Oryza sativa Japonica Group: one gene and its partners. The protein of the gene in region 4 interacts with the protein of the main gene of each other region in a pairwise test. Links are inferred from orthologs where the notes say so. Each region holds a gene or a part of one and is shown on either strand. Other genes may lie near its edges. The genes, in order: protein TIFY 10a, FHA domain-containing protein DDL, mediator of RNA polymerase II transcription subunit 25 and transcription factor MYC2-like.

Evidence for each region.
Region 1: the proteins of transcription factor MYC2-like (region 4) and protein TIFY 10a interact in binary tests that used the Arabidopsis thaliana proteins (3 or more experiments, as listed by UniProt). The link is inferred for Oryza sativa Japonica Group from reciprocal best matches to the Arabidopsis thaliana genes MYC2 and TIFY10B.
Region 2: the proteins of transcription factor MYC2-like (region 4) and FHA domain-containing protein DDL interact in binary tests that used the Arabidopsis thaliana proteins (3 or more experiments, as listed by UniProt). The link is inferred for Oryza sativa Japonica Group from reciprocal best matches to the Arabidopsis thaliana genes MYC2 and DDL.
Region 3: the proteins of transcription factor MYC2-like (region 4) and mediator of RNA polymerase II transcription subunit 25 interact in a two-hybrid assay, tested with the Arabidopsis thaliana proteins (2 studies listed by BioGRID, with this or other methods). The link is inferred for Oryza sativa Japonica Group from reciprocal best matches to the Arabidopsis thaliana genes MYC2 and PFT1.

Annotation. Positions count from the first base shown.
Region 1 is NC_089037.1:16,853,062-16,857,954, forward strand, and holds protein TIFY 10a, read right to left. Parts: upstream 3,258-4,893; 5' UTR 3,032-3,257; coding exon 2,911-3,031; intron 2,629-2,910; coding exon 2,526-2,628; intron 1,877-2,525; coding exon 1,617-1,876; intron 1,513-1,616; coding exon 1,455-1,512; intron 1,355-1,454; coding exon 1,210-1,354; 3' UTR 847-1,209; downstream 1-846. UniProt on the Arabidopsis thaliana protein: Repressor of jasmonate responses. Jasmonoyl-isoleucine (JA-Ile) specifically promotes COI1-TIFY10B/JAZ2 interaction. Activated by MYC2, MYC3 and MYC4 transcription factors.
Region 2 is NC_089039.1:27,210,159-27,214,957, reverse strand, and holds the start of FHA domain-containing protein DDL, read right to left. Parts: upstream 3,172-4,799; 5' UTR 3,043-3,171; intron 2,896-3,042; 5' UTR 2,889-2,895; coding exon 1,992-2,888; intron 1,390-1,991; coding exon 1,358-1,389; intron 1,072-1,357; coding exon 1,005-1,071; intron 818-1,004; coding exon 760-817; intron 605-759; coding exon 512-604; intron 1-511. Other genes in the region: probable auxin efflux carrier component 5a, read right to left, coding at 3,612-3,780, 3,869-4,023. UniProt on the Arabidopsis thaliana protein: Involved in the microRNA (miRNA) and short interfering RNA (siRNA) biogenesis. May facilitate DCL1 to access or recognize primary miRNAs. Binds RNA non-specifically.
Region 3 is NC_089043.1:12,244,295-12,249,116, reverse strand, and holds the start of mediator of RNA polymerase II transcription subunit 25, read right to left. Parts: upstream 3,375-4,822; 5' UTR 3,179-3,374; coding exon 3,069-3,178; intron 1,661-3,068; coding exon 1,630-1,660; intron 1,529-1,629; coding exon 1,465-1,528; intron 1,345-1,464; coding exon 1,214-1,344; intron 1-1,213. UniProt on the Arabidopsis thaliana protein: Component of the Mediator complex, a coactivator involved in the regulated transcription of nearly all RNA polymerase II-dependent genes.
Region 4 is NC_089044.1:23,547,655-23,552,608, reverse strand, and holds transcription factor MYC2-like, read right to left. Parts: upstream 3,254-4,954; 5' UTR 3,139-3,253; coding exon 1,039-3,138; 3' UTR 535-1,038; downstream 1-534.

The DNA of each region.
Region 1 (4,893 bases), on a different chromosome or scaffold from region 4:
CATCAAGACTTTCCTACACATACAAACTTTTAACTTTTCCGTCAGATCGTTCCAATTTCAACCAAACTTTTTAATTTTGGCGTTAACTAAACACACCCGTAGTCTCAGGCAACCGTAGTCTCAGGCAAGAGCCATGTTAAAATACTACTATTCTTCATTTCCGAACGTGAGCTTTACTCTAATGTACGTGGATCGTCCACTGTTTGTCCGGCAGAACCCGGTTTGGTCCCGGTTTTAAAATGCGCAGAACATGCAGTTTTTCTTCAATGTCACCAAAATGATTTTATTTTTTTTTCTCTTTTCCCTTGGAGAAAAAAAAATGGAGAGTCATTTCATCCCAAAAAAATAATTTTTAAAAAATTCCGACCATGGGCTGCTGCTGAATGTAGCCGGAGAGCGACGTGCGCATTTTTGCGTGTTCCCCGGACGCCCTGCCGTTGCCGCGTTATACATCACTTTCTTCTCCTTTTCTTTTATCTTTATCTTTATCTTTTTTTTTTCTCTATTCATTTGTGCAAGTGGCAGATGCTGCCTCTGAGTCAAAACACGTTTTCTTCCTGTGTTGGACGGAGTATGCACAAGTGTGTGTGTGTGCGTGCCTCGTCTCCATCAAGTTTTCAGGTCGTGCAAGAGCCAAGAGCCACAATTCTCTCTCTCTCTCTCTCTCTCTCTCTCTCTGAGCTGTCTGTCTTCTAACCTCTGAGGCCAAGCAAAGGCTTGCAAATCATGGTACACTAGTACTACTCAGCATGTCCAAATAACATTCTAGTTTCTGAATAGAGCTTCAAAATTCATACAAGAATGCATGTTGGAAACAGCAAAAGGAGATGCATCCTGTTAATGGGGGGGGGGGGGGGAAACAGGCGTAAGTGAATAACAATCAATCTTGTGATGTGTATATATTAGCAGTACATTTGCTTTGCTTCTACATGGCAATGCCAAAGCAAAACGATATTGAATTGGTACAAATGAGGTTTCTTGGGTTGTACTGATTACAGAATCTTCTGCTTTCTATCATAGCAATTTGATTCAGATTACTGGTCATAATCATCAGCTACTTTCTTTACATTCAATCCTAGTATATATATCAGAAGAACATCGCCTTGTCATCGGATCATCTCCTAACACAAAACACCCAATTCAAGAGTTGTGATAACCTCTATGACTGAATCATCTGATGAGAGGGGCATCTCAGAATTGAGCATTGATTCATTGGCTCGATTCCTGCCGCAAGCTCAGGTCGGGAGCGGCAACCTGAGGTCCTAACCCAAGCCATGGCTGACTCTCCTGCAGCTCCTTCTTGACCGGAGAAGCATCTGAAGGGGAACCCTGGTAGGGTGCTTTAGCCTGAAGGCTGAAATAAAGGAGCAGCAAAAGTTAGATCCAAAATCTAGAATTGTGAATTGTAGAATTTGACTATACTTTGTGCTGCCATGATAGCAAGCATAACCTACCGATCCTTTCTTTTCTCGAGGAACCGGTGAAGCGACGCCTTCCTAGCCTGAGGCAGATCTGCAGGATTTGAAGAACAGTTAGTACAATAAAATGGATTCACATGCTACAAGTATATTCCATCATTCAGAGCAAGCAATAACAGCCGAGGTTAGAGTAGTTACCAGCAGCATTTGGACGAACAGGTTTCGGGGCATTGGCCTGAGCAACAGGAAGTGCACTTGCTGGGGCTGGTACAGCAGACACCTTAGTGTTGTCGGCAACGGTTGCAGTAGCGGAAGATGGAAGAAGGACACAGTTCTGCGCTGTGGAGGAACTCTTGCTGGCCATCTGCATCAGGTCCTTGGCCTTCTCAGCTGGGAAGTCATCAAACACCAGGACCTTCCCACCGTAGAAGATGGTTAATTGGCGCTTCTCTTGCTCCCTGACAACGGAAATACAAGAAAGCTTAGACAAACACAACCATTTAACCAATTTTAAAGCTTACACAACAGAAACTATTTACTAACTGATATCGGTCAGCAAGCACCCGCCATCTACGCATATGTTCAGAAGAATAACTTGTAGTAAGTACCAACTAATATTTGGGTTTTTTGTTCATGAATCACTCGAGTCAGAACATTTTCACTTTCGGATCGTGCGAGCCCACTAAGTCTGAAACCCGTGGTTATTAGTTGCGAGACATACATCGTTGACTCGCACAAAAAACGACTCGCACAAAAAACAGAAGAAGGAACTGCAGACTTGCATAGCACCAGTTCTATATTGGATTAAATATCGAACCTTTCCATCACACCGAAATCCATCCCTAGAACTCTAAACTAAATTATATCCATTTTACACACGAATTAGATTTCAGACCATGACCCGAGAGCTGACCAGCTCAGCTCCTGGCAGCACTAAGATCTGGTCAGGACAAGGCAAGATGTTCTCCTCCTCCTCCACACTACCTACCAACCACTACTTTGTTTGGTTGGATTGTTGCTATTGGTTTCTCCTATCATGTGACTACAGCTAAAGGAACCGTATGAACTGATAGCTGAAGCAATTCGAACAAAGATTGTGTTGAGTACCTCGCATCCGGGGTCTCCTTCACGGCAGCAGCTTCAGAGCCGAACCCGGAATTCTGGGGGAACAGCTCCATGGTCTCCTTCCCCTTGTTCGCATCGGCTTCACCTGAAAAATGATATGACATAGTTTTTCAGCCCAGATTCACAACATCAGATTTAAAAAAAATGTTGCGAATTTTACAGCTAGCTAGATGCGCAGAATTGGAATGGTTGAGACTGGTTTAAGCCGAATAAAATTCTACATGGGGGAATTCTCGCTTCCAAAGCTCGAAGAACTAGACCAGATCTCACGGAAACCTTCCTAGGGGAGGTTTTTTTCACCCAAAACCCGTAAAGATAAAGATCCAGACTTTGCAGAAGGAAAAAAAGAAAAAGAAAGGGAGGTGACCTCTGATGCCGAGGCCGAGCTCGCCGGCGGCTGCGCCGTTCTGCCTGACGTAGCGGCTGAGCAGGCTGCAGGCCATGGCGAAGCTGCTGCTCCCCCTCTCCCCGGATTTCGCGGAAGCCATCTTCTTCTTCTTCTTCTGCCCACAAGCTGAATCCTTTTCTCCGAACGGAGTCACGGACCCCCGAAATCCTCCCGCTTCGATTCGATTCGATCGAGTCTTCTCCTCTGGTCGCGGTTGCGGGTTGCTCGTCCTTGTCTGTCTCTGAGTTGTCTTCCTCCTCCGTCCGGCGGTTCAGGTTCTATATAAGGGACGCACGAGACTAACAATAACAATAATGGTGGGGATTATCTTTAAGACGAAAAAGTTTCGATTTTTGTAATCGCAAGTTGCGAGGGAAAAAAAAAAGTTAGTTTGGGTGTTGGTGCCTTTGTTTGAGCACGTGATTGTTGTGGAGATTGGCAAGGTGCGCAGATTCCTATTCTCTCGTTATCTTTTTCCTGGTTTGTGTTTACTGTGTGCCGGTGTGGTATGCCGTGACGTTAGGTTTGATTGGATGCAACGTGGCCGACAAAGGAGTGGGGCCCTTCGTCCTAAAATGCATAACCTTCCGTACCAGAAAAAACCAATCCTACCTACCAATCTGGATATATATATGTGTTCAGGTTCGTAGCTATGAATTCGTTCTTTTGGATGGAGTAGTACTTCCTTCCTCATCTCAAGATACTGTCTCCATTCTAAAATATAAGAATATAAGACTCTATTATCATCTCATAGTTTAGATCATCCAAATAACTATAATGTATGCACCAATAGAATTAAAAGAGAATATATTCTATACCATTAAGTTTGTTCGAGTTCAACGATTTGCCATCGACATTATCTCTTTTTATAATATACCAGTAACTTTATCAATTCTTCTACAATATGTCATTGGGTTGGGCCTTCTTTTCAAATATATCCAAAATACCCTTACGAACATACAAGATTAACAATTGATTTATCTCATCTAAAGTTTTAAAAAAATATGAAAACTTTGTAGTGGCCTCCTTACACAATATGGAAGTTTGTATACAAGTTTGAAATTTTTTTATGGTATATTTAGATTTTAGAAAAAATATTTTTATGTGGTATATGATAGAGAATTTGCTTACGCAAGAGATAATATCATAAAAATATCTTATGCATTGTATGAAAGATGATTTATATTAAAACAACAATAAAAAGTATTTTATATAGCATATAATAGATAAGTTATATTTTTTAAAAAATAGAAATATAAAAACTCGAAACTTCTATACAAATTTCCATGTTATGCAAGGAGGTCACATAAAATTTTTTATATTTTTTAAACTCCTAATGAGATAAATCAATTGTTAATCTTATATGTCCATAAGAGGAATTTGGGTACTTTTGAAAAGAAGACATATCCCAATGGCGTATTGATGAACGATTGATAAAGTCGTTGGTATATAATATAAATCGACAATGTCGATGGTAAATCGTTGAACTCGAACAAACTCAATTGTATAGAATAGATTCTCTCTAGGATTAAAGATTTTGAGGATGGAGGATTTAAAAAAAAATCATAGTGCGAAAGATGTGCTAGTTAATGGCATGCATTCATGCATGCCTTATATTATGAAACATCTAAAAAATAGTTGTGCCTTATATTATGAAATGAATGGAATACTAGCACTTACTCTCTCCGACCCAATATAAGTGCAACCTAGTACATATATGGTATATCCTAATACTACGAATCTGAACAATTGTCTGCACAGATTCGTAATCCTAATATATGTCATATTTGTACTAGGTTGCACTCATATTAGGACGAAAGGGCTGTCTAAATTCGTATTATTAGAATATGTCATATACTAGATTGCACTTATATTAGGATGGAGGGAGTACAATTTAGGGAGGGGGAGGGGGGTGTTTGGTTACCAGCAACACTTTGCCATAGTTTGTTACGCCCAATGTTA
Region 2 (4,799 bases), on a different chromosome or scaffold from region 4:
CCTTTTATGAGATCTAGACCTCCACTCTAGTTAGGCACGTGCACACACGCATGCATTTAACTTGGGTGGCTGTGCCGTGTACACATATCGACCTTACTCTAGAAAAGAAAGAGCCCTTTTACTCCCCGGGGAAAATGTAAATAATGATACTGATTCAATGCAAGCTCATATCATAGTGACCCACTCGTTAGTGCCTTTGCTCACGTTAAATGGTTCGTTCCAAAACTCTCCGAAATTAAGCTAGTTCGAAAATGTTTTTATGTTCCATACTCGCTTCATCACAGTCAGTTAAGCTTACTGCTTTTAACAGAACCTACTTTTGGTTTGGCCATGTTGGGAAGGGAAATAGAGAAACAGCTGTTGAACTAGACAAGAACATGCCTCTACAGACTGGCAAATCCAAAAAATGTTTTTTTCTTCTATTTATTAAAAACTATTAACTCGAACAGATAGCATGACAAAAGGAAAAAAGTTAGCTTCATATATAGAGTAACAAGTCAAGAATAACTACCTTCGAGTGGTTCACCACCCTTGAAGACGTAGAGTCTCCATCTAATATCTGACTTGCGAGCCTCTGGAGGTTCTGAATGCAACAGATTTACACCTGAAATGGAAGTAAATTGCAAACTCTGAGGACAATGCAATACAGCAAAGAACAAGGAATTACAAATTCTCATTGGTGGTTAAACAAACATTAATGTAAAGTGTAACATTTAGGTTCATGACCAAAAAGAAAGATATAGGGCTTCAAAACAGCACCTGCAACTCTGTTAGTCTCCTCAGCAAGCTTTCCAGACAATTCAAATGATGGTTTTTGCTGCAAAACACCAATGAAATTATTAAAATACTAGTGTATGACAAATGAAGAGAAAGGTTAAATAAAAAGAAAGCTGACATGGCAAGTATTTTGTATCTGCGAAAACAGCAAGCATCATATAAATAAACTGTACACAACAAAAGGAAGATTGTTATTATTTTAAATTTCATCATGGAGTATGCCCTACCTTTTCTTTTGCTTCCAGAGCTTCTGCAGTAGCATTCATCTTCACCAAAGAATCAGGATCAACACTCCTGGCCAAAATAGTATCAAATATAATATTTTCAGTTCTAAAATTTCAGGTACAAAAACATTGCGCTCATGTAGCTGGTCAAATATACATTTGTTTGTTTTAGGTACTACTGCTACAGTTGCTTAACGGATATGCTGATATGCATCAAAAGTTCAAAACCATTCCAGCAAGAGGGTATGACACCCATAACACGCGTAGCCCCATTGATACAACAAGAAAACAATTGCAAGCAATGCTTCTACTAAAAATTTACAATTCGTATTGAATATAGAGTTTTGCATGCTTACCGTGACGCTGCATCTGTTACAGAGCTTGTATCCTGAAATAAATCAAAACAAAGTTTAGGTTGCAACTAACGGGCCATATATGATAGCAAACATGAAAAGAAACCAAATTGGTATGAAATGAAAAGGATAGCGGGCAACTAATTATATCCTCTAGAATCTGAACTCTGAAGCAAGAAGGGTTTACATGGAATACAGACCCACAAGTTTAGTGTCAACAATGCTGATAACAAGGCGTACTCCCTCTGTACTCGTAAAGGAAGTCGTTTTGGACAGCGACACGGTCTCCAAAACATAACTTTGACTTCTTGTTTCTATAAAAATATTTAATGAAAAGTGATATATGTATACTTTTATAAAAGTATTTTTCAAGACAAATCTATTCGTATAATTTTTACATTTTCAAACTCAACTTGAGAGTTATTCATGATTTATATTCCCAAGGTTTGACTTAAACATTGTCCTAAACTACTTCCTTTACAAGTACGGAGGTAGTAATTTTTTTTCACTTCTATTCATTTGGGTGCAGGTTATCAGACAAAGAACAGAAACAAGGGACAATCATGAAACAAAAGAACACACTACGCCAACTAACAGGTGGATATGTATAAGAAAAGGGTCAGATATCATTACACACCTCACCATGTGCTGCACTTCTAGATGACCTCGGTGACTGGCGGGATTCACGTCTACCCCTATGCCTATGCTCTTCTGGAGACACTGATCGCCCACGCCTAGATGATCTCCCTGATTCACCATTGCTCTCATCCCGGTCTGCCCTTCTCTCTCTTGCAGAATCCCTTCTATCATCATGATCTGCCCTTTGCTCCCTGGAATTGACTTTTCGATCATCCCCATCAGACCTTCTACCCCTTGAATCACGCCTTTCATCATCTCGGCTTGACCATGTCTCCCTTGAAGCACCCGACCGATCAGACCTTCTATCTCTTGAGTGATCCCTATCATCATCATGATCCAGTTTCCTGTCCTTAAAAGAGCCCCTACTATCCTCCCTCTCAGTCTTTCTATCCCTTGACACATCCTTTCCCTCATCACGCTCCCTGTACCTCCCCGAGTCCCGCTCTTCCCTGCTGGTGGTCTTCCGACGGTCACCCTCAGTAGCATCTGCACCTTCCCGCTCACTCTGAGCCCTTCTCAATCGTTTGCTCCGTGGTGAGGGCGACCGAGACTCCCGTTTCCTGGCAGGTGACGGAGACCGTGACCGTGACTGAGCTTGTTTCGGCGACCTGACCTGCTCCTTCACCCTATCTCTCTGTGGCGACCTCCCAATACTCCTAACAGGAGACCTCCTAGGTGAGCCATTCCTCCGAACAGGCGACCTCTCCCTATGTGAGCTAGTAGTCTTAACAGGAGACCTCCTCCTAGGCGAGCGACTCCTCGGAGCCGGTGACCTCTCCCTCCGAGCAGGCGGGCTCCGCCTGCGCGGCGGCGAGCCACGGTCCCTCGCCGGCGAGCGCGACCTCGAGCGCCCCGACCTCCGCGAATGCTCCCTCCGCTCCACCGCCGAAGCCATTCCCCACCTGGAGCAGCATCACCCCCAAACCAAACCGATTCAGAACAGCACTACGAAGAAAAATCGCGGAATCGCTAGGGTTTTGTGCGGCCTCAGTCCGAGGAGCCGCCAAAAAAAAAAAGAGGGAGGGAGGGAGGGAGGAAGGGGAGCGTACCGGGTGCGGCGGAAGCGGATGCGGAGTCGTCGGCGGCGAGGTTATCGCCGGTGGCGACCGGCCAGCGGCGACCGCGAACCGAGGGTTTCTTCTCTGTGAGGGCTCGGCTTCAGAGAACAATCCGGAACCGGAGGCGGAGTCCGGGAAGGCTGTACAATATCAAGACGACCGCGAAAGCCCAATAGAGAGCCCAAGTTGCTAAGCGACGGCGGCCCAGTTAGATGAGGGCCCATATGGAAGACTCTGTGGTGGCCCATAGGGAATAAGTTCATCTAGGGTCCCTTAACTTGTCAAGGAATCCGATTTTCGTCCTTCAACCGTAAAACCAGATACTATGGGTCCCTGAACTATCAAAACCGATGCATATTAGGTCCCTCGGCGGTTTCGATGGTGGTTTTGGCTGACGTGGCACCTACGTGGCTAATTTGACTCGATCACGATCTGACGTGGCACTGATGTGGCAATTTGATCCGGAAAAATAATAAATTCCGTGGGACCTAAATATCAGTTTCACACACAAATTAATAAAAGAATGGCGGGGTCCACGTGACCCCACATGTCAGTCAAAATCACCCCTCCTCTTCTGCTTCCGGCTTGCCGCTCGCCGCGACGACGACGACGACCGTGGATGCGGCGCCGGCGCTGGCCTCGACGTCCTTGCTGGCCGGCGTCGTCGTCGTCGACGACGACTCGTCGGAGGACGAGGTGCCGTCGACGTACATCCCGATGGCGGCCTTCCTGACCTCGAGCACGAACAGCAGCAGTGTGAGCCAGACGATGGCCTAGAAGACGGAGAGCTGGACAACGAGCTGCTGCGCCCCCTCACCGTACATGGAAGGCCGTGAAGATCGAGAGGGCAACGGCCATGAACCACCAGCTCCACCGCTGCTTTGTATCCACGAGCACCGGCACCAATTGCGGGTCCCACGCCAGCCGCCGGGTCTGCTCCTCCGCCTGCCGGCACGCGTCGTTGTCGGGCATCAGGAACTGGATCAGCAGGAGGTCCAGCGACTGCGCCGTCCCTCCCTGTTGCCAGCGGCAGCTTCCTCCTCCCTTTACCTTGCTGCAATCGCCCGGCACCGGCGGCGGGGGTGAGCAGGCAGCAACCACCCGCCGGCGCTACCCGCCTCCGCGCCGTCTCGCCGTCACCGACACCGCCCGCGCCGGCGGAGGCGTTCGGGTCCGATGCCCTCAAGGAGACTTTCTCCGTTGACGTGGTGGCGGCCGAGGCGCGGCCGCTGAACGTGCCCCTGGCCGCGCCCTTCACCATCGCGTCGTCGCGGCTGGAGACCGTGTCCTACGTCGCCGTTCGGGTGGAGCTCCGCAGCGGCGCGGTCGAGTGGGGGGAGGCGCCTGTGCTGCCCTCCGTCACCGCCGAGGACCAGCCCGGCCGCCTTTGGTGCCCATCCCATCCGCATCTGGCGCAAGAGAGATGAAGAGAGGGGAGCTGGGGAGAGGAGGAAGATGGGAAGGGGTGAGTTAGCCTGACATGTGGGGCCCACATGGGTCCCATTGTTTTTTATTCTTTTGTGTGAAACTGACACGTGGGTCCCATAGGTTTTATTTTTTTTCTGGATCAAATTGCCACGTAAGCGCCACGTCAATGCCACATCAGATGAAGACCGAGTTAAACTAGCCACGTAGACGCCACGTCAGCCAAAACCGCCATCGAAACCGCCGAGGGACCTAATCCGCACCGGTTTTGATAGTTCAGGGACCCATTGTACCTGGTTTTATGGTTGAAGGATGAAAATCGG
Region 3 (4,822 bases), on a different chromosome or scaffold from region 4:
AGGGATGAAGACTGAAATTTTGATTTTTGAAGACTCAGTACCATAGGAAAATTAACATACTAATATAGGTACATTCATAGAATTTAAACTTCTGATCATACTAGTTTCACTCTGCTTATTCTGGGTACTGGCCCAGACATCCAGTTTCCTAATAGGGTTGATCTAATGAAAATCTTCCTTACAAAAATTAACCTAATGAAATGGTGATTACAGTTATACACTCTATTTACTAAGGTAAGGCTATCTGTAGCTGATATCCAGATCAAGACATTTTTTATGAGACAATAGCTGATAAGTGGATGTGCAAACCACCTTAGAATTTTCTCACATGAATCATATGTTGTGCAGAAGGGCATTAAAGGACAGATTCTAGAGAATACTGGAAATAACAATACCAAGACAACAAGCTATAATTCTTGGAAAATAAAGTAATCCAAAAGGTTGGGTAGAACATGTATTGTTAAGTATCATGGTTCTACATAATGTCCAGGCTCAACTAATAGTTTACAGGGCTTACTATGAGAAACAAAATTGTAGATCAACTAATTTAGACAAAACTGGACCCAAATTCAGGTGCAGTGAGAGATGAAAAGAGGTATTTCCCTTCATCTAGGAAATCAAAATATCTCTGTTAATAAGATACCAAACTCTGCCTTTGCTTCAGCATAGCTGGTCCTAACGCTGAGTAAAGGAAGAATGTTGCGATAACATTGGTAAGCCATCATAAAAATCCCAGTCGTTCCTGTGGAGATGAATTATGGTTTTGGATAGAGTTGCATGGAAATTGGCGGTCCACATGCCCAGAATCATGACCTAATTCACGTCTTCTTTAACTATATTGTTATTACTAGTACTATACTTCCCTTAGTTTTTTTGTGGCTGCACATCAGTTTCATCTCTAGCCTACCCCAACTTGCCTGGAACTAAAGGTTGCTACTGTTGATGTTAACATGAAAGATGTGCCATTTGGCAAAAAAGAAACATCATTTCATATGCCAAATGAAGCATGATTGCACAAGCCAAACAAAATGCTAAAACCTTGCACGGGAACTCAAAAGTAGGCAACCATATGCAGTACTGAAATTTTGGAAGTAGTAAGCCACAGTTTCTAATTTATGCATTTTGAACCAAAAAAAAAAAGTACAGGAAACACCAGAGGAAGTCATTATGTGCAAAAAGTGAAAAGAACTGAACGATGCCAATATGTCAATACCATCAATGCTTCAGCAAGACCTTCAGAAATAGCAGCTTCACTAAAGCCTCCACCACTAAATGATATTCCAGATAACCATGAAAGAAACACATTCATATCTTTTGTCCATCCACTCCGTTGCACACAAAAAGCTGCAAGGAATCAAAAGCGAATTATCATAGCTTACATGTTTTGTTGATATAGAACTAAATACAAATAATTGCAATGGATCATAATAAAAAGCTTAGGGCATGGAGGATATCAAACTTTACCGCTATAAGGACCATGGGTATGGAAGACGACTAATGCAAGTTCAGGGGGTGTCCCTGCGAGCTTCTGCATAACACGATAATAATTTACACTTTTGAGTTTTGACACAAGTCAAGGAAACATGGATCAAGTAGTAAGTCCGACGATAAATACTGAGAGCAAATTACCTGTCCTGCCATTTCATGTGCACAAAAACTCCTGCATAAATTGAAATGCTTCATGAATAGTAGTACTAAAAATGCAAAGGTTACTAAGTGCTACAGAAATTGACAAAAATTTCTAGCAAGAGATGAGCTTAAAAGTTTCATGATAGTAAGTATATGAGAGTGAAGCTGTGGTGGATCACCACATAACATCAAAGGCTCCATTTGGATTTTGCGTTGAGGTGGACTATGATAATCCTGTTCCGTACAGTAGCTTATAGAAATTTTGATGTTTGGCTAACTGCTGCTCTTTTAATCAAGTTGCAAATAGAGATATTATTTCAGTTCTAAAAACAGAACACTTGTCAGAGAAATAACAGTTTAAATTGACTAACAGAATTCGTCTAACATTAATTTGATTTCTCAAACAGACTACGAAGTTTTTCTTAACTGTTTCCACAGAAGCTAAATAATAAGCACAGGAGGATAGCAACTGCAAACAAACCCTAATAATTCAGAGCAAACTGATTATTGACCAACAATACAAACAGCTCCCACTTTCATTATTTTTTTTATTTGAAAGGCTTGAACACAAGAAATTTGACTCATGTGATGAATATTCCAATTACACCCATGCGAAACCAGAACATCAACTAATTAACAAGAGTGAAAACAAGGACTTCAGAAAAGCCATAACCATAACCAAACAGACATCCCATCATTACATTACTGGTTGTACAGAAGAGTAGTAAAATCACCAGCCAAAAACTGAAATTGGTTTTCATGGGAATCATTCATCATTCATGAAAAAAAAAACACTAAAATATGCTAGACTGAAGAAAAATACTTCTGAATGAGCAAGGAGGAACTAGAAAAGGCATAAAACCCAAAGTAGAAGATGAATTATGCTACATTCTGTCATAGATCTGCACATATGCAGTGATACAAAGTCTCCTCGAATCAGGAGCAAAAAAAGATGTATCTCGTGCCACAACACCATATAGCCAACAACCAACCAGTTCATCAAGAAACCACGAATTTCCACACATCGATGATGCGCTTGCATTCTTACTCTTTGAATAAGCATTGTGAAACAGAATTGAAGCTAACTAGTACCATTTAATGTTTGCAATTAAGAAGGTGAGAGCAAACAACAAATCTCCAAATCTCCTACTAATGCTTGGAGTGAACGATATATCCGACTAATATAACTAAAAAACTGTGTATATCAAACACATACACGGATAGCTGCTAACTTCCACTATCAAGAACTAACTAGCTACCGCTTCGCGTTCCATGTACTCCCTTCGTCTCAAAATAAACAGCTAAACAATCAACAAAGGGTCCAATTCTTCCACATCAAGAAATCCAAGATGCACTAATCCGCGACGGCCGTACAGTCAACTAGTAACAAGAAAGCAGGGTGGCGCGGCGGGGGGAGGAAAGCACGGGCGCAGCATTACCGCACGATCTTCTCGACGTAGTCCGCCACGGTGACGGGCCAGTACGGCCCCAGCGCCGCCGTCCCCTCCACGGCCACCACCAGCTGCCTCTCGGCCGCCGCCGCCGCCATCCCCCCGACGGCCGCCCCCGCCGCCGCCGCACCCGGCGCCACCCTGCCGACTCCCCGAATCACCGCCTCTCGAGCTCCCCTCCCTCCCGCGAAATCAATCTCCCCCGCACCAACGACTTCTCCCTCCCTCCCTTCCTTGCCGGAATTTCTCTTCTTCTTCTTCTTGTTAGGTTTCGTGAGGTTAGAGAGAGATGACGGCGAAGGGGTGGGGTACTGGGGTCTAATTTATATGGGCCCCAAGGCCCATAAGAAGAAAGGTGGGCTTTTGTGTGGATGACAGGTGGGGCCATAGGGGAATATGGGGAAATTTTGGTGTAAAAAAGAGTTGTATTGTTCTTTTATGGTGTTTAGTAAATGTAATAATAATGGTACTCTATAGTTGGGAAGAATTGTGAGCATTTATTACTTTCTTAGTATACATCAGGTTAGTTTTGAGTGTAGCCTTTCGGCTAAACTAAGGGTATTTTTAGGAGGTACTCCCTCCGTCCCATAATATAAGGGATTTTGAGTTTTTATTTGCACTGTTTGACCACTCGTCTTATTAAAAAAATTTGGAATTATTATTTATTTTTTGTGTGACTTACTTTATTATTCAAAGTATTTTAAGCACAACTTTTCGTTTTTTATATTTGCACAATTTTTTTAAATAAGATGAGTGGTCAAACAATGCAAATAAAAACTCAAAATCCCTTATATTATGGAATGGAGGGAGTAACTAAGAATCGGGTGCCCGATTTTCAAGAGAAAAATCGGGTGCCCCCCTCCTGCACCTCCTGCGTGTGCTGCTCTCTACATATTCGTTGCATGCATCATGCATGTCAACTACTTCATCCGTCTCAGAATATAGCAACCACGGAGGGAGTATTTCCTTGCCTCATCTCTGCGTGTGTTGCACCCTACATATTTGTTGCATGCAGCATGTATGTCAACTACTTCCTTGCCTCATATCAGCTACATGCAATATTCCATAATTCCCTATCTCTCATCTCTCCATACAAATCTTGCTTTTCTTAACACACTTTAAATGTTTTTTCTCTTAAATTATTAATCCAATCTATAATATGATTGCACCGTTGTATTTCTTGTAATTCAAATCTTTACAAACAAGATCTCACATATAAAAAAAATTAATGATGTTTCACCACTTATAAAAAATTGTTTCAATTCGCTAAAAAAATGTTCCAGATAAATGCAACATTCAAAATATAATGACTGCAATATCATCAACCTCTGCACGAAACATCAAGTCCCAACCAGTGAACTCATATAAAGACTCGTACGAAATAAACGATATACTTATATGGATATTGTTAAAACACATTTATATTTGTTGACGGTCGTTAGTGATCAGTTTCGTCCGTCAACACTACTTAAATAAAAGAGAACTAGTTATGCTTGCAATGCATATTTATGTCAAAATAATAAATATTCCACTGGCACTAGGATTACTAACCTCTTGCAGAGAATGAACACTAAGTGGAGAAGAATCGACATCAAAACAAGTGATCATTCAATCAGACAATGTCGAGAATCAGACCTATCAATGAATAGGTCAAGAATGCAAAAATGACATGACCAATTGGGCCAAAATTCACAAGTCTGAAGTGAGCAACAGAAGACGAGGCCGCTAGCCGAAAATGGGTC
Region 4 (4,954 bases):
CTCGTTTTTCTATAGACTATCTTCAAGTTAGTAGATAGATTTGCTCTCTCTCTTCATTTAATCTCTTCCATATAGGAAAATATGCTGACATGGGTATCTTGTAGAGAGCATATAGATAACCATTGCGGGTGCCCTAAACCTAGCTTTGATGATCTATCATTCACACGCACATCCAGCTTTGTTTTGGTCTGTTTCGTTTTTGTGCTGCCAAGCCAAGAAGAGCAGCTCCTACTTTGCTTTTTGCTTGCTTCTCAGTTCTCCCTCGGTCGCTAATCGTACTGTGCTACTGCCTGTTTGTGATGGCGAGATCTACCCACCCAACTCACATGTGCTGCAAGACCATGTCCCCATCATGTGTGTGCAGGTCGTCTTCTCCGTGCTGCTCTCCGTTGAAGAAGAGATGGATCATTACGGGCTATGGCAGGACATGAACAGGATGAATAACTATCCATCCAACCAACCAACCACCATTCCTCCTCATCTCCTTGCTTGCAGTTGCTAAACATTAAAGTGCTGATGAGATAATAGAGTTGATTGATCAAGCAAAAAAAGAGCATATCCATTGCATTTTTTATTTTTTTTACGAGATCAAAAACACCACAACATGTTGTATTCCTTCCTTCCTCCCTTGTTCATTGGCATGATGATGGTACAATACCAAATCCTATATACAAAGTCTATCATATTTAGGTTTAGTAATTAACAAGGACCAACATATCGCCGATGATTTCTTTCCTCCCTTCCTTCCTTCCTGCTAACAAAGAAAGGAAGAAAAGAAATACCAACCGCTGCTATCAGTATCAAAAACAAGACGACGATCAGCAGCAGCAGCTTCAGCTTGAGTTGCGAGTTGATATCAATCATCCTCTCCATCCATCCATCCATCCTAACACAGATCTTTAAACTTAATTTTACAACAACAACATGATTTGATCATCGTCTCGTCGTCTTCTTGGCATTCCTGAAGCTCTGGCCATGGCTACGCCGGCTTGGGGAGAGTAGAGAGTATATCGATTGGGTTTCCTCGCTAGAGTTGAGTTACCGGGCGGCGGTGCCAGGCTCGGCGATGCGGGTGTAGAGCGCGGCGTTGAGCTGGTCCTGCGAGTAGACGCGGCTGGCCATCTTGACGGCCACCTGCTGGATCATGAGGTCCTTGACCACGGAGACGCTGGCATGGTACACGTCCAGGTCCAGCTCCCGCAGCGCCGTCATCAGCCGCGCCGCCGGGTGGTTCCGCTTGTGGCACTGCACGCGGATCATGGCCTCCAGCCCAAGGATCTTGGCCTCGATCTCCACCGCGTGGCACCGCGCCCCGCCGTCTCCGCCGCCGCCCGACGGCGCCGGCGGCCGCGCGTCCCGCTCCTTCTTGAGCGACTCCATCTGCGACTGCAGCGTCTCCTTGTCCGTCTCCAGCGCCGTGAGCTTCCCCCGGAGCTCGTTGATGTAGGAGATGGCGTCGCCCAGCAGCGACGCCTTGTCCATCTTGGACACGTTGGGCACCACGGCGCGCAGCGCGTAGAAGCGCTGGTTGAGCTTCTCCCGCCGCTGCCGCTCCGCCTCCACGTGGTTCAGCGGCTCCTCCCGCCCGTTCGCCGGCTTCCGCCCGCGCTTCCGCGGCCGCTTCTCCGCCTCCGGCGGCGGCGCCACCACGCGGCTGCTCTCCACCTCCCGCACCGACGCCTCCAGGTCCGAGTGGTCCGACTCCGACTTGGCCGGGGCGCCCGTCCCCGTCGACGGCCGCGTCGTCGGCGCCGACGAGAAGGACAGCATCCCCTCGTTCGCCGTCGCCGCCGGGTGGTTGTTGGTGTTGCTGGCGCGGGAGGTGGCCTCCATGGACCTCTTCTGGTTGTTGCTCTTGGCGTCGTTCGCCGCCGCCGTCAGCGTCGGCGTGTGCTGCGAGAACAGGCTCCCCGGCGCGGTGGTGAGGCTGGCGGTGGCGGCCGGGGGCGCCGGCGACGGATTCCTCCGGCCACTGCTGCTGTCGTTGCCGAAGTTTAGGATCTCGCCGGTCTCGGGCTTGAAGAAAGGCGGGGCCGCGGCGCCGCCGTTGGACGCGAAGTCGGAGAAGTTGAGCTCCCGGCGGAAGGGGCCCTGCTGAGCCTGGCTGCTCTGCTGCTGCTGCTGCTGCCGCTGGGGCGGCGCGGCCGGCTGCGAGGGCGTCGGCGCGTGCACCGACGGGCTGGGATTCTCCGTGAGCGTGCTGGTGCTCCCGTTCTCGAAGTGCTGGATCTGGTGCGGCGGCGGGGGTGGTGGCTTGGAGACGGAGATGTCTGCGGCGGAGATGGAGTCCTTCATGTCCATGGGGGGCGCGTCGGCGAGCCAGAGCACGGAGGGATCGGCGGAGGCGGCGTCGGGGTGGGGGGGCCAGGAGGAGGCGGCGGCGGCGCTGAGGTTGAAGAGGGCGCGGATCCTGGGGATGCTGTCCCCGGTCTGGAAGATGACGTCGGTGGAGCCGAGCTCGAGGACGCCGGTGGCGAGGGGGAGGCAGACCATGGTGCGGAGGCCGAAGGTGTAGGCCTGCCTGGCGCGGTCACAGGGGGCGGAGGACAAGCCGGTGGCGATCCAGGTGGGCTGGGCGGCGAAGAGGGCCTGGCCGGGGAGGCCGAGGCCGTTGGGGAAGGACTGGGTCATGGAGACGAGGAAGAACCACTCGGTGTCGGTGACCTCCTCCTCGACGGCCTCGTCGGGGGCGGCGCCTGCGCCGGCGATGAGGGAGTTGAGCTCGCGGAGGACGCGCTTGCGGTGCTCCTGCTCGGCGGCGGCGGCGGGGGTGGAGGAGCGCTGCTTGCGCTTGTCGTCGTCGCAGCCCTTGTAGTAGCCGTCGCCCCAGCCGAGGAGGGAGGCGCCGGTGGAGACGTCGATGGAGGACTGCCAGAAGATGGCGTACGTCCACGTCTCCCGAGACCCCTCGATGATCGACTGCAGCCGCTGCTGCAGCGTGTCCTGGTTGAACGCCGCCGCCGCCGGAGCTGCTGCAGGCGGCGGCAGGACCTGCTGCTGCTGCTGTTGGTGGTGGTGGTGAGGCGGCGGCGGCGGCGGCGGCGGGGTGGAGGCCGCCCCCCACGGGAAGGCCGGGAGGTCGGCGGAGGCCATGAACGCCTCCATCATCGACGCGTTGTCGTCCGTCCAAAGGTTCATCGATTTGATCTCGATTTCTTCTTCTTCTAGATTTGATTTGATTTGGAAGAGGACTCCTACAAGAGAAGAAGAGAATAGGAGGAGAGGAAAGGTGGGGATGGGTATGGGGTGGAATGGATTTTTGGTGGTGAGGAGAGGAGATAACAAAACCCACATGGGTCCCATGGCTAATCACTCAAATCAAATCATATTTAGTGTCCAGGGGTATTTTCGGTATTATCACTCCTCCTATGTCTACACTCCTAATTAGCGATCATTCGCGCGTCCGCCAGCCGCACCATCACCGCTTCACTCATCTTCCTTTTTTTAGCCATACCATGTTAAATCGCCCGCAATTCCTATTTTTCGCTATCAACGTGTGGTATGCATGTTTCCACACAAATCATGCATATGCGCATCATTCCGTGATTAGCCTCCACGATTTGTATACTGCAAATAATAAAGTACAGTATATACTAATTTTCTTTTCAGCCTCCCTGAAATAACGAGTATTTATACATAATAAAGTTTATAAATAGAAAGTTTGCATGCATTTTGTATATCGTGAATTTATATATAGACCTTTATTTAAAAAAACAGAAGGTTTTTTAAATAAATTTTTTTTATAATTATCTTAAAAAAATTTATAAAAGATTTTGACATCTTTAGGATGAATTTATCTAGTATAATTTATAGTAAAAATAGTTATAAAATAATGATAATCTAAAAATATATATTAAAAAATAGAATTTGAAAGAGCGATTTTCGGATCATCGGTGCGCTCACATGGTGGCTTGGGCCTATGGGATCGCTCGCCTAGCCGCCGCAACCACCCTCCTATCTCCTGTTTGTGTAACCTCCCTCCGGGTAATCAGCCTCCGCTCTCGCTCGATCCCACATGTCAGCGTCCTCCCCTCCATACCATGCTCTCTCTCCCTGCTTTCCTCTCGTGGGAAGTGTTTTACGATCCCTTATCTTTGTAGATTTTACATTACATGTTAGGAGGCAGTGGTGGAGCATATGTTTCGCTCGATCCGAATTTTGACAATGTTTTATACTACTACTAAATCTTTTTAGGACTTTGTGGATCACATCGTATTCCTTTGAAGAAAAATATAAAATCACGTGTGCTTCTCCCAGAAGGTTCATGCGGTCCTATGGTTAAGTTTAAGACGAATTCTATCATTATCAAGAGTTACTCAAGCCTTAAGGCTATTTTCCCCTTCCTTAACTTGCGGGCAGTTTTGTACTATTGTCATAAAAAAAAGATCAATTGACTGACAGCAATGTTATTTTCATAAGAGCAAGTTTCATAAGTATAACTCACTGCTACCTGTTACTCCATCCGTTTTAAATTGATCATCATATAATTTTATTGATGTTATTTCTAAATGATATCATATTTGCATTCATTCATTAAGTATATTCGTTTTTGTGCATTAGAGTAAATGGATATTGATTTATGCATCTAAGAATAATGGGGATGATGCATACACCAAGTTTGTTACTGGAGTAAATATAGGACGAGAGAAGCTTCCTTTGGTCTTGGTACATCTACGTAAGATGATGATCAATTTGAAATGGAAAAAATAGTCCATATTAAAAGTTAAAACCAACACATATAATAGATTAGTTATAAGGTTATAGCTTTAATTTTTCTCTTTGTCTTTATCTCAATGATACATTTAATGTATTTGTGTTAGGGCACGTGTTAGAACTATCTCTTGTATGAGAGCTAACCTTTTTTTTTCTATATACCTTCTTCACGTAAAATTATAGTAGACTTATAACTCGCTATTATCCTTGTTCCTTGCTCTAAGATGGAAAGGAATTACGG